3 linked regions of the Oryctolagus cuniculus genome follow. The protein of the gene in region 2 interacts with the protein of the main gene of each other region in a pairwise test. Links are inferred from orthologs where the notes say so. Each region holds a gene or a part of one and is shown on either strand. Other genes may lie near its edges.

What was found. The genes of interacting proteins can lie anywhere in the genome.
Region 1: the proteins of PNMA5 (region 2) and ZBTB25 interact in binary tests that used the Homo sapiens proteins (3 or more experiments, as listed by UniProt). The two-hybrid records come from large-scale screens. The link is inferred for Oryctolagus cuniculus from reciprocal best matches to the Homo sapiens genes PNMA5 and ZBTB25.
Region 3: the proteins of PNMA5 (region 2) and TBC1D22B interact in binary tests that used the Homo sapiens proteins (3 or more experiments, as listed by UniProt). The link is inferred for Oryctolagus cuniculus from reciprocal best matches to the Homo sapiens genes PNMA5 and TBC1D22B.

What each region holds. Positions count from the first base shown.
Region 1 is NC_091451.1:5,939,044-5,943,679, forward strand, and holds the start of ZBTB25 (zinc finger and BTB domain-containing protein 25), read left to right. Parts: upstream 1-1,408; 5' UTR 1,409-1,501; intron 1,502-1,723; exon of another isoform or gene 1,724-1,967; intron 1,968-2,439; exon of another isoform or gene 2,440-2,652; intron 2,653-2,712; exon of another isoform or gene 2,713-2,900; intron 2,901-2,925; exon of another isoform or gene 2,926-3,409; intron 3,410-4,636. UniProt on the Homo sapiens protein: May be involved in transcriptional regulation.
Region 2 is NC_091453.1:131,406,005-131,410,476, reverse strand, and holds the start of PNMA5 (paraneoplastic antigen-like protein 5), read left to right. Parts: upstream 1-1,393; 5' UTR 1,394-1,521; intron 1,522-3,717; 5' UTR 3,718-3,859; intron 3,860-4,472.
Region 3 is NC_091436.1:132,390,232-132,394,823, reverse strand, and holds the start of TBC1D22B (TBC1 domain family member 22B), read left to right. Parts: upstream 1-1,364; 5' UTR 1,365-1,443; coding exon 1,444-1,499; intron 1,500-4,592. UniProt on the Homo sapiens protein: May act as a GTPase-activating protein for Rab family protein(s).

The sequences.
Region 1 (4,636 bases), on a different chromosome or scaffold from region 2:
ATGCAATTTCACTATAAGAGCGACCAGCACAAGATGAAAAGTACCAGGAGGAAACTTCTATAAAGACCAAAGTGACCAAACATTTCTCAAATAAACCTCCTGGTGTGTGTGTGGGGGGGGGGGGGGGGGCAACATATTGTAGCTAAAAATTAAAAATCTACGGAAATTCCCCCGCATTTATATCCCGAATGATTTCCTCCCCTTTGGGCCAGGTTAACAGCAAAGGCTTAGCCGGCCAGGGAAGCACAGGCCTGCACGCAGGTGCTCCTCCACCCCTGCACAGCAGAAAGGGAAATGGTTTTGTGAACGCGCACAGAGACTCTTAAAAAAACAGGCCGGGGGGGGGGGGCGCGTCTTCTCCAGAGCCTGGCAGAAGGGGAGACGCAGGAAACCCTGCAGAAACCGAACAGCGTTCAAGCGCAATCAGAACACAAGGTCACGAGTAAGTGGCTGTGCTGCGCTCACGCCCGCTGCGCTCCCAGTCCCGTCTCTCTTGACAGTGCAGGCCATCCTGCTCCGTTCTCCGACAGCAATGACAACGTGGCCCCAGCTCCTGCTGCAGGCTGCGCTGCCCGCGCGCCCCCGGCCACGCGTCTTTCTCGGGACGAAGCCTCCCGCTAGCTCCCAAAGGCATTCACGCTGTCAAGACCCGGCCAAGGGCCTCAAAGGACAAGCTTGAAGCTCTGAGCACGTGACAGCCAGCCTCACCTTTTCCTGTCTCAATTCTCATTTTCTCCCGACCAGACCCATTTGCAATGACACAACTTTAGAGAATCAACGGAAGATGCTTTTCTCCGCTTCTCCCTCCCTCTCTGCCTTTCAAATCAATAAAATGAACCTTAAAAAAAAAGTTTCATAGACTTGAGTTCTCCCGTTTCAAAGACGACCGCGATCGCGTTTGAAGTTGGTCCCCAGCACCGCCATCCCTCACCCAATCCGCTTCAAAGCGCCAGAAGCTGCCGGAGTCCAAGTTACCTCGGAGAGCTCGCTCGGACCGCTCCTCGGGCGTGAGCGTCCCGGGGGGGACTGCTCCAGTGCGGAGCCTGCCACGCGGGAAGCCCCCTCGGCGACCCCGGCCCGCTCCGGCGCCCACGAGCCATCGCCGCCTCTGCCCCGCAGGCTGCCCGCCCGCGAACGGGCGGCCGGGGTCGGAGCCGTGCCTGCGCGCACCGCGCCCGGGCCCCGCACAACTTCGCGGCGAGCGCCCACCGCGGGAGCGCTCCGGGCACACAACCCCAGACCTACCCACTTCTACGGAACAAGCAGCATGTGTTGCCGGCGCGAGGGGGTGGGAAAAGCGCGCAGCAAGAATCCGCCGCCTCCTCCCTCGGAGCGCGCCCGAGTCGGCGGCCGCGGCCTCCGGGACGCTTCCCCTCCCACCCGCCCGGGAGCCGCAGCTGGGAGTTGAGAAGCGGGCTCCGGGCACGTCAATCACCCGCGCCCTCCCGCCTCCACCTCCCCTCCCCCCCCCTCCAAAAAACACAGGCGCAGGGGAGAGAAGGTAACTAATTTGGGAACCACGTCTCCACCGGGGGGCTTCGCCCTCCGACCCCAGAGGCGGCGCGCCCCGCAGCCCCCGCCGCAGGCCCGGCAGCCGCCCGCCGCCCGGCGTTCCTCCCCGCGCGTCCGGCTCCCCCGCACCGGCCGCCCCGCACTCCGGCCCCGGCCCCGCGCGGCCCGGGCCAAAGTTGCGCAAATAGCCCCACCGCTGGCAAATACTCACCGGCCGCAGCGGGAACCGGGGCTGCGGAGGTTTTAGGGAGTTTAAGGCAGATCGGCCGCGGGGAAAGGCGGGCGGAGGCCGCGGGCCGCGGGCTGCAGTGGCGGCGACGCGCGGCGCTCGGGCTGGCTGCGCGGAGACTCCGGCGCTGCCAGGGGCTGTGCTGCAACAAAGGACTTCCGCTGCCGCACAGCCGCGCCCGCCGCACCGCACTGAGCCGGCCCCGCTTACGCGGCGACTCCGGGTCTGCCCACCAGCTCGCTGCGGCGTCCGCCAGGCCTTCCCCTCCCTCCCGCCCGCCCACCCACTCCGCCGCCGGCTGCTAGGGGCACCCGCGGTCGCCTGTTTGCTGCAACAAGTTTCTGCGTCGGGCTCCGGGGAGGCTGGCACGACCCGCACCGCGGCGCGGCCCGGCCACCCGCGCGCCCCTCTTCCCGAGGGCAGGGCTCGGGACCTCCTCCTCCTGTTTGCACAGCTGGCCGGGCCCGGGCTCCTCCCGACTCGCGAGGGCGGGATGCTGCGGCCCCCGCGCCCGTCCAGACGTCAGAGCCCGGCTCCGCAGCGCCCGGAGGCCGGGGGCGTCCCGGGGGCGCCGGTCCCCGCGCCCCGGGCTGGCCGCGCGGGGGGCCCGCGCCCGCCCCCGGCCCTGCCTGAGTCACTCCCCCGCCGTGCCCCGCCCGGGCTCCCGCGGCCAGGCCGCCCCGGCCCCGCGCCCTCACCCCTGTCGCGCGGCGGACACGCGGGCGCATCCTCCCCCACCCCGACCCCGAGCTGACGGGTGCCCGTGCTTTTGCACACCCTGGGGAAAGTCCCCGGGTCACGCGGTTGTGTGTGTGGGGGGCGGCCGTGACGCGCACACGCGGCCCCACGCTTCCGCCTACAGTCACGACCGCCGGCCGCGCCGGCGCCCGGAGCGCGGGCCGACCCCCGCCCGGCCTCTCCGGCAGGCGGGCGGGCAGGCGCGCGCGCACGTACGCACGCACGCACTCCGCGGCGCCCCTCGCGGCCCCGCGGCCGGGCGCAGGGTCACGTGGGCCCAGCGCCCGGGCGGCCGGCGCGGGAAGCCGCGCGAGAGCGGGCCGCGGCGGTGCGTGAGCTGGCGCCACCGCGTGCCTTGCGTGGCGCGGGAGCCCGCCCCTCCCGCACGGCGGAGCCGGCCCGCCGGCGCGGCGGCGTCTGGGTAAGCGACGCGGCCCTGCCCCTGCCCCTGCCCCTGCCCCTGCCCCTGCCCCTGCGGGCCGCCCCGGGGCTCAGGCCGTCCCGCCGCGAGCCAGCGGGGGCGGCCTGCGAGCCGCGCGGGTCGCGGGACGGTGCGAGGAGCCGGGGCGAGAGGGGGTGCTCGGGGTCCGTTTGAGATGCCTGCCGGGGGCCGAGCAAGGCCGGAGTCGCCCCTCGCCGCCCGCGCGGGAGGCCGGGGCCGCGGGGCTGACCTTTCCTGGGCCGTGAGGACGCTGCGGCCGCCGCCCCTCCCCCGCCCACCGCACAGGAAGCTGCCCCCACGCCGTCGCTGGTCTCGCCCTGAAGCCGGCCCAGCGCTTCTTTCTGAAGCGGGTCGGCTTCCCCCCGCCGCTTTGCCTGGCACGCGTGGCTGTCAGTAGCCGCTCAGGCGACCCACGGCCACCCGCGCCCGCGGGCGACGGCTCCCGTTTGGCCGGCTTTTTTCCGGAGCCGCGAGTCCGTTTGGCCGAGGTGGTGTTTCTCCCGCGGGATTCCCACTTCGGAGTTGAGAGGGGGCGTGTGGAAAATCCGGGTTGTCCCCGTGGTTTTGCAGACGAAGGCCCCTGCGGGATGGAGGGGCCGCTGCGCGCTGCCTGGTCCTAGACTCGGCCACGCCAGTTACCCCACTCCGCGCCGGGGTGGCGTCTGCCGGAGGATCACTGGGCTTGGGAAGTCAGCCGTGGTCCCTGCGTGCTGGCCTTGGCCTTCGCATACTGATAGCATCCGTGTCCAGGCGGGAGGTGCTTGAGAGCCTGAAGCCCCTTCCCCTACCCCCGCCCTCCCCAGATTCAGCCCGATTCGCTGCCAGAATAACGTTTGCAGTGTAGTTTAATTCCTTAGGATAAAGGCTTGGAAGCTGTCTTTTGCAATCTGGATATGTGTTCGCTTGAAAGAGTTACAGAGAGAGAGAGTGCTTCCATCCGCTGGTTCATTCCCCAAACGGCCACAACGGCCAGGCTGAAGCCAGGAGCTTCTTCCGGGTCTCTCACATGGGTGCAGGCGCCCCAGGACTCAGGCCACCTGCTGCTGCTCTCCCAGGCACATTAGCCAGGAGCTGGATGAGAAGTGGGGCAGCCGGACTCGAACCTGCACCCACAGTGGGATGCTGGTGTCGCAGGTGGCGGCTTTGCCTGTCAGCCACAACGCTGGCCCCTGTGGATGTGGATGTGTTTAAATTGAGGGTACATTAGGAGTCGGTTGTCAGGCATCACCGGGGATAGGTTAGATCTGAGGACTGGGCGTAGTCGGAATGCAGTGAAACATCAAGCTGGGGTGAGCTAGGAAGCAGGGAGGGGCCCCACGTGACCTGCCCTATCTTTTTTTGCCCAGATCTACCCGGAATGTCTGGTTTGGTGGTAGTGGAGGTGGATCCAGTTTGGCTGCTGTTCATTGAGTACCTACTATGAGCTACTGGTGATTTCTAATTCTTCCCAAAACGGAGGTGGTCCTGTGTCCGTGGTCAGACGTGTTAGCAGCGGGAAGAGACAGGCCGAGAGGGATTTACCTGGCTGCAGTGCGGCAGGCGTTAGCAGCAGAGTTTAAGACAAGATCACTTATCTCCCGAGTCCAGCCAGCACTGGCTTGCAGTGTATCTCGCTCCCACTTGAAGCCGGGAAGGGGGATGAGAGAATCGCCTGTGGCTGATTTATTGGCGCCTGTGGTTGCCCAGAGAGGCCAGGCAGGACTTTGAGCTGCCCT
Region 2 (4,472 bases):
CCTCCTCATCCCTCAGCAACTTTTTGTTTTTAAGGAAAGACTAGGGAGGAGCCAAGTCTAGCAGTGAGAAGTAGAATGAAGTACAGAGGTGCTCAGGACAGCTCTGCTCACAGCCTGTATGAGACTGGGCAGCTGGTGGTGTCATCCAGAGGGTGCTGTGGACTGCTGTAAGGAGAGCCGTCTGGTCTGTGACCACGTGGCAGCGCCAAGTAATCATTTTCTCCAGTAAGGAGAAGGAAATTAATTTAAGAGATAGTCCAAAGTATGTTCTTGTTAAGTACGCAGTATAGGGGTCTGGGTTACAGTGTCATGTCTCACCTAGGAAAAATTTTCAATTAAAGGAGAATAATGCAATATTTGTATGTATCTTACTTGGTGACATTTAGTTTTAAAAGTTTTCTGCTTTTCACATTTTCATTAAAATATGATTTTAAAAAAGGCCTGTTATTCGTACCAAATACAGCAAAACTTACGTTCTGTCAGCTTACAACTTCTGGCTCTGGTAATCTCAGAGCAGTGCTACACAAAGCATGGGCAGGGAACTGCAATAGCCGCTAGAGTTTTGGTACTTTTGCAGACTCTGAGCTCTGCCAAGACCTCCTGACTCACAACTTGAACCGCTACTATCACCTGCTCTGGGAAATGTGTGTGCACTTTGTAAACTGCTACCAGTGTCCCACCAGTGCCCTTTGCTGGGACAGGACTTTAGGGTCCCCAGTAGCCCCAAGGAAAACAGCTAAGTCTTCCCTCTGTGGAAGAAACCTGCTTTGGGAAAGAAAAGAGAGAAGTTTCGGTACCTCGTGGGTAATTCTCATGCAATCACGAGAATAATGAGAGAATGAAATCTTGATAGTTTCCTGTATCTCAATGAGCCTTGAAAATTGCATGCATTTGTAAAATGAAGGTAGTAGCTGTATTTTTTATTTTTTGCCGTCCCCTAGGACACAGTGGATAAAAATTAACAAGGACAGAGACGTTTGGTTAGTTAGTAGGTACCGAGCTTGTAGTTTGCACCTGGACCTATACTTTGCACATAGCCCTGTGTGCATAGCTTGGAATACACAAACAGGAGGAGCCACTGGTGAAAGTCAGAGCCAGTCCCAGTCCAATGGGTGAGAGACACCTATCATAGTAGCCGCAATGGTTGCTGGGACTGATGTGACAGGTGGTGGTCCTGTCGGCCTCTATTGAGCACGTACAAGCTGGACTGTGAGCAACTCTGCAACGCAACAGTTCTCAGTATGGTTTGAATTCTCTGTTCCCCCTCCAGTCATGACTCAGAGGAGAAACGTGCGGTGGACAGGGCACAACCCCTTTATTGCAGGAGTGGGGTGGAGGTGGAGATGGGGGTGGGCGTGGCCGTAGACGTTGCCGGGATGCATCTGCGAGTGGGCGGTGCTGAAGACCGTTGCTTACCCGACAATTTCTTTCCCGCCACAAACTCGCGGCTCATTCCGTACAGTGGCGGCGGCAGAGTGGCCACGCTGCACGGGCGCTGTGGCCTGGAGGCATTCCCAGAAGGTAAGGAGCTGGGTTTGGGCACAAAAGGGAACCAAGGTTACAACAGATTCCCTCCAATGATCCTGGTTGACCTCCATGAGGTCCCAGGGGCCAGTGGCCTTAGATTCCCCTGGAAGCAGAATCCTAGGGGTCCCTGATATTTCCAGTTATCATGAGTGGCCTCAGAACTTTAGGAGGGCCCATTCTACCCCAAACCTGCCCAGACGTAGCAGTAAGGACAACTGGTTCTGGCCCTTATCCTTGAGGGAAAGTGGCTTTGGCCATTCCTGTTCTAGCCTCTAGCTACCTCTGCTGACTAGATGTGTCCCTGCTCAGAGTAGTGGAAAGGGTGTGTGAGGTTAGGAGTGAATGGGACAGCCTGATGGGTACAGGAGGTTAAAGATAATGAGGTGGGGGAAAGGAGTACAGGGAAATGGAAGTGAGGAACTTGGGTGGGTGCAGGACGTGCACATGAATGGCGGAGTGTATGACACTCGGATGGACACAGAGTTTGGCGGTTCAGTGGCTCTTGGTGAAAGTGGCTTTTGGCGCCAGAAATGGCGCTTGCGCAAGACGCAGTTTGCCGGTTCAGTGGATCTTCAGAGGTTGGCTTTTGGCGCCAGGAATGGCGCTTGCGTGGACGCAGAGTTTGGCGCCAGAGGTGGGGCTTACGTGGACGCAGAGTTAGACGGCAGGGGTGGGGCTTGCGTGGACGCAGAGTGTTGCGCCGGGGTGGGACTTGCGTGGACGCAGAGTTTGACGGCAGGGGTGGGGCTTGCGTGGACGCAGAGTGTTGCGCCGGGGTGGGGCTTGCGTGGACGCAGAGTTTGACGGCAGAGGTGGGACTTGCATGGACGTAGAGTGTTGCACCAGAGATGGAACTTGCGTGGACGCAGAGTTTGACGGCAGGGGTGGGGCTTGCGTGGACGCAGAGTTTGGCACCAGAGGTGGGGCTTACGTGGACGCAGAGTTAGACGGCAGGGGTGGGGCTTGCGTGGACGCAGAGTGTTGCGCCGGGGTGGGACTTGCGTGGACGCAGAGTTTGACGGCAGGGGTGGGGCTTGCGTGGACGCAGAGTGTTGCGCCGGGGTGGGACTTGCGTGGACGCAGAGTTTGGCGCCAGAGGTGGGGCTTGCGTGGACGCAGAGTTTGACGGCAGGGGTGGAGCTTGTGTGGACGCAGAGTGTTGCGCCGGGGTGGGGCTTGCGTGGACGCAGAGTTTGACGGCAGAGGTGGGACTTGCATGGACGTAGAGTGTTGCACCAGAGATGGAACTTGCGTGGACGCAGAGTTTGACGGCAGGGGTGGGGCTTGCGTGGACGCAGATTAGACGGCAGGGGTGGGGCTTGCGTGGACGCAGATTAGACGGCAGAGGTGGGGCTTGCGTGGACGCAGAGTTTGACGGCAGAGGTGGGACTTGCATGGACGTAGAGTGTTGCACCAGAGATGGAGCTTGCATGGACGCAGAGTGTTGCGCCGGGGTGGGACTTGTGTGGACGCAGAGTTTGGCGCCAGAGGTGGGGCTTACGTGGACGCAGAGTTAGACGGCAGGGGTGGGGCTTGCATGGACGCAGAGTGTTGCGCCGGGGTGGGACTTGCGTGGACGCAGAGTTTGGCGCCAGAGGTGGGGCTTACGTGGACGCAGAGTTAGACGGCAGGGGTGGGGCTTGCGTGGACGCAGAGTGTTGCGCCGGGGTGGGACTTGCGTGGACGCAGAGTTTGACGGCAGGGGTGGGGCTTGCGTGGACACAGAGTGTTGCGCCGGGGTGGGGCTTGCGTGGACGCAGAGTTTGACGGCAGAGGTGGGACTTGCATGGACGTAGAGTGTTGCACCAGAGATGGAACTTGCGTGGACGCAGAGTTTGACGGCAGGGGTGGGGCTTGCGTGGACGCAGAGTTTGGCACCAGAGGTGGGGCTTACGTGGACGCAGAGTTAGACGGCAGGGGTGGGGCTTGCGTGGACGCAGAGTTTGGTGCAAGGAGTGGGGCTTGCGTGGACGCAGTTACATGGCAGGCGTGAGGCTTAGGTGGATGCAGAGCTTGGCCTTGGGGGTGTGGCTTGAGTGGAGGTGGGATTTGGGGCTTGGTGGGTGGGATTTTTCCCTGGGGGTGGAGCAGCAGTTTCTTGTATTCGTGAGCAGATTCAAAATTGGCACATCCTGAGCAGGGCATTTGGGACGTAACCACAGTGAAATACCTCTGCCTTGCTTTGGACAGATCCAGTGAAGGGATCCTGATCCATCTAACCTGGTTCGGGAACTGCCTGACAGGACAGAGCTGGAGAGCAAGCTGAGTGCCTGATTACATCAGAATCACAAACTCTACACGGCCAGTGGAATCCACACTGCCAAGTCGTCAAGTAAGTTATTTTGGAAGGTGAGCCTCTGTGACCCTGGCAAAGGACAAGGGGACAAAGGCTGCCTTCCAGGATCCACACACTCTGCAGGGTAGGGCCACACCTAGGGTGACAGTTGTCTGTTTCCTGCAGCGGGACAGTGGGAACCCTTCGTTGGGTCCCTTTTCTGCCCCTAATTCTAGCTGCTACACAATATGAAACCTTAAGCACTTGTTTTTTCAGCACTCAGTCCTTGCTGCTCACCTCACCCCCATCTCCCCTTCACTCTCCCAGCTCCCTTGCTGCTAGGACATTTCCATTGGCTGGAGGATAGTGACATCACCTGTTGCTCTTCAAGTGCCTTCACCTTACCACATGACACAGCCCTGTGCTAGAAACCCATGGTCCATGCTGTTCTCAGTAAGCATAGTAACACTGTAGTTTCTGCACCTACCATTCTCAGATTGCACAGAGCTCTGGCCACCTTTGTCTTCTGTGGGACATTTTCTGAGAAAGAGAACAGCTCCCAGTCTCCTGCCAGCCTTTACCCCAGCAAAGAGATTTCCAGGTCATCTAGACCCACACAAATCCTCTTCTGACAGGCAGCCTTTTTTTTTTTTTTTACAAGCAGAGTTAG
Region 3 (4,592 bases), on a different chromosome or scaffold from region 2:
GAACAAAAATTACTGTGGATGGAGTGTACTTTCTATTTCTCCCCAGTCCACAAAATCTCAAAAAGAGCACAAGGGGCTGGCATTGTGGCATAGCAGGTTGAGCCGTGGTCTGCAGCGCCAGCATCCCATATGGACACCGGTTTGAGTCCTGGCTGCTCCACTTCCAATCCAGCTCCCTGCTAATGCACCTTGTAAAGCAGTGGAAGATGGCCCAAGTGCTTGGGTTCCTGTACCCGCACGGGAGACCAGGAAGAAGCTCCTGGCTCCTGCCTTCAGATCAGCCCAGCTCCGACCATTTTGGCCATTTGGGAAGTGACACCCAGTGGATGGAAGATATCAAGATCTCTCTCTCTTCTCTCTGTAACTCTGCCTTTCAAATAAATAAACAAATCTTAAAAAAAAAAAAAGCACAAAGCGCAGACAAAACATTTCAAAGAGTTTAAAATGCTAATATTAAATTTCATTCTGAGACAAAATTAGATTGAGAACAAATTCAAGGGTGAAAGATTTACAATAGATTAAGAAGGGAAATTAAGGATAAGTGTGTGGGGGTACACCCGCATCTTGGTGATTCACATCATGGAGATACACGATATGCTCTAAAGAAATGGGGTACTTGGTCATGTGGATTGGATGGACGCAACCACATTCCCTAAACACGTCTGTCAGTCAGTATCTAGGCTTTCACTGTCAGAAAGTGAGAGTTACGGATTAAAACAGGATTCGATCCTTGGCGTTTCATTCACAGCACAAATCCTTTAAAAGTATTCAGTCAACAGAGGAGGGAGACTCCTGAACCCACTGTCACATGTTGAACAGTTAGGGAGCGTGGGTTAACTGAGTCCTTCATAGGGAGAAAAAAAAAAAAAAAAACTCCGGACCTAAACGGAACCGGAACGAGGAAGGGGTGGCTATCACCGAAGTGTCACTGAGTTGGGTGTCGTTAAAAATGGGTCACAACCAACAAGGTCAAAGATTTATGTTTATAAATACACACTATGGCCCTCCTTACAAATAATAGCAGACTCCGGGATCTCATTTCCCCAGAAGAAAACAGCCCCCGTGCCTCCTTCCCGTGGGTCGCTTTCTTTACCTGCTTCTTCCCTCTCGTGGGTAGGAACTTTCTGCCCCGCCTCCCGGCTCGCTCAAGCTCCGCCTTCCCGGCCCACCTGGGTGCCCAGCCCCTGACGTTACCGTTCGGCTTCAGCATCCTACAGGATTCCGGCTCCCGATTGGCCCGTCTGTTCACGGCTGGCGCAGCCCACCAATGGCAGCTGCGCTGGGTGGGCGGGTGCCCACATCCAAGATGGCGCCCCCAGGAGCTGGGAGCGGGTGACCGGCGACGGGGAAGCGGCCTGGGTTGGCCCTCAGATTGCGGGGTCTCGGGGGCGTCTCGTCGGGCACCCCCTGACCCACCTACAAGGCCTTCCCCGGGCCAGAGCAATGGCCGCCGAGAACAGCAAGCAGTTTTGGAAGAGGAGCGCCAAGCTGCCGGGGAGGTGAGCCCAGGACGCTGAGAGGGAGCCGGGATTGGACCAAACCCTTCCAAATCCTAATCCCTAAATCTTGCGACTGATGTGGGGACCCCAGGACCGAGCAGTCAGGGCTGCCTGGTAGCGGCAGGGCGGCTGTCAGGCAGAGGAGCGGGGACGGCTGGGTGTGAGGTACAGACCGGGGTCTGAGGGCGGAGGTCTCAGGAGAGGTGACCTCAGCTGGGGGGTGGCCGACGACCGGGCACAGGGGGCAGAGGAGTTGAGGGAGAACCCCGTGTCGCCCCCGGGGCTTGGGGGGCCATTCCCAGAGCCACTTCCCACTTTGAAGAGAACTCCTCGGGGGTCTCCAGCATGCACAGGTGGTTGCTTACTCGAGGGTGGCCCCTTCCTTGGCTCCCCCAGCTCCTCAGGTGCAAATCTTCTCCCAAAGGGTTCTGGTGGGAGCTTGGGGCCGCCTGCGAGGAAAGGGGTCGGGGCGGGGGGTGGGGGTCCAGGAAAAGTGAGAGCAGTTCTGCAGCCTGACCCCACTTTATCTTGAGTTGACCCTTTCCCGTCAAGGATTTCTTACAGGGAGACCACAGAGTCGGTGTTTTTCTCTAGCATTTTCTAGGGATTTGTCCAACTCCAAGTGACCTCTTCCCCCCACCCCCTGCATTGTAATGGTCTTCTTGTGCACACACACTGAATTCTTTCATTCTTCAGTGGTTTCGTGGAGGGCAGACCTTCTAAGCGATTTTTTTTTTTTTCCATTTTGGCATGTGTTGAGACTTTTTAGCAGTTGTCCATCCCCCAATCTGCCGTTAGTTGACAGTTTGGGTTGTTTTGGGCTGAGTCCTTAGAAGTCTAAGGAGGAAAGTGTGTTTCAATTGTGAATTTAAGATTTCTGCCAGCCACAGTCCAGTTGGTGATGAAATTCACGTTTGGCTGTGCCCTCCCCTGCCACCTTTCCTAATTGATTCAGTTCTTTTCTTTCTGGGATAATTGGTAATTCTTTGAACTTATGACTGAGTATTTTCCTCTAAAGCAAAGAGAAATGAACAGTCCGTAGTGTCTTGGCAGTCTTACCTTATTTAGGATCCTATTAAACATATGGGAAATGGAGTGGGGATCAGCTTTTAGTAATACATATTAATAGAAGGCAATGCAAAGACAGCCTCAGATTAACATGGAAATTACACTGGAATGACTGTTAATATCGTGTTAAAGATGTTGTGTGTCTTTAGATAAGCATCGCTTCCTGCCACCTGATTTCTTTTCCTTCCTGATCTAGTGAACTCTCCAGTTATGCTAAATGCTGTTCTCTGGGGTTTTCCATCATGAGATCATTAAATTTTGATGTCCTAAGGTTATAATGAGACTCAGCAGGAAAACTGTTCCAACAGGAAGCAGTGCAGGAGATGAGGGACATGGCATGGTCCTTTGTGCCTTCTGACACTGGTTGCTGTTCACTGGCTTCTGTTTAATACTGAAACAGTCAACTTTTCTAAAGCACTATGTGAGATAGGAAGAGGAGTCTTTTTTTTTTTTTTTAAAGAAAGATTTTATTCATTTATTTATTTGAGAGGTAGAGTTACAGACCGAAAGAGGGAGAGACAGAGAGAGAGGTCTTCCATCCACTGGTTCACTCCCCAAATGGCCGCAACAACTTGGAGCTGAGCTGATCTGAAGCCAGGAGCCTGGAGCTTCTTCCAGGTCTGCCACGTGGGCGCAGGGGCCCAAGCACTTGGGCTCTGGGAGAGGAGTCTTCATTTCTTCAAGTGTCTGACTCTTCCATTTTGAAGAATACAGAAGGGAAGAGGAGAGAACCTTAGGGTTTAAAAAGCCTTGGCTCATTATTTGAACTCTCTTACCTGTGTGTCAAAGACAAATGATTGACATCCAGGCCTCTGTTTCCTTATCTGTGAAATGAGAAATAAAAATACTTCCCTCAGGGTTCCTGGGATTACTAATAAAATACCCTATTTGTAAAGAACCTAGGACCGTTTATTTAACACATTATAGTTGCTCAGTATTGCTGTTTCTAGAGCAAGTAATTGTTGAAAAGAATATTGCTCAGATCCCTTACCCCAGCCCTAGTTCAAGTCTTCATTCTTTGTTCTAACCATAAAATACTGGCACAATTCATACTAGCTTTTAGTACTTTGATTGTTGAAGAGAAATATGGTTCAGCTGTGTGCCTTTATCTGCGAGGCCCCAGGAGCTCCTGATTATGGGAGAAAACTACCCAGGCATCTTGTAGATGGAAAGGTGCCTTGATGAAAGGAAAATGTTAGAGCATTTTCTCAATATAACTTTTTTTTTTTAAGATTTATGTATTTATTTGAAAGTCAGAGTTACACATAGAGAGAAGGAGAGGCAGAGAGAGAGAGAGGTTCTCCATCCTCTGGTTCCCTCCCTCAGTTGGCCACAACTGCCGGAGCTGCACTATCTTAAGCCAGGAGCTTCTTCCAGGTCTCCCACTTGGGTGCAGGGGCCCAAAAACGTGGGCCATCTTCTACTGCCTTCCCAGGCCACAACAGAGAGCTGGATTGCAAGTGGAGCAGTCGGGACTTGAACCAACGTCCATATGGGATGCCAGCACTGCAGACAGCGGCTTTACCTGCCACAACATAGTGCCGGCCCCCAATATATCTTTTGACTCTTCACTTGATCTTAGCCAAAAAGCCAAGAAGGGATTTTTTGGTTCTTTCAGTTTTAGCGAAGAAAAACTTTGTCTTGGGTAGAGTAAGGACTGTGTACTAGGTTCATGGCAACCTATATGTGAAACCAGTGTCTTTTTTGCAAATAAAAGGTAAAAAAAATCAAAGTGATGGCAGGTTACTTTCAGTTTCTTTGATCATGATCCAGCAATAACAAATAGGAATTTTATTAAATAAAACAGCCTAAGTTGAAAACAAATGAAACATTCTTTTTTAAAACAACAGCTTTGGGGCAGCCATTTGGCCTAGCAGTTAAGAGGCCACCTAAGACTTCTGCATGCCGTATGGGAGTGCCTGAGTTCAGTGCCTGCCTGTGGCTCCTCACTTCAGCTTTCTGGAGGCAAGTGTGCTCTCCCAGGTAATGGGGTTCCTGCCACCCATGAGGGAGACCTGTGTTGAG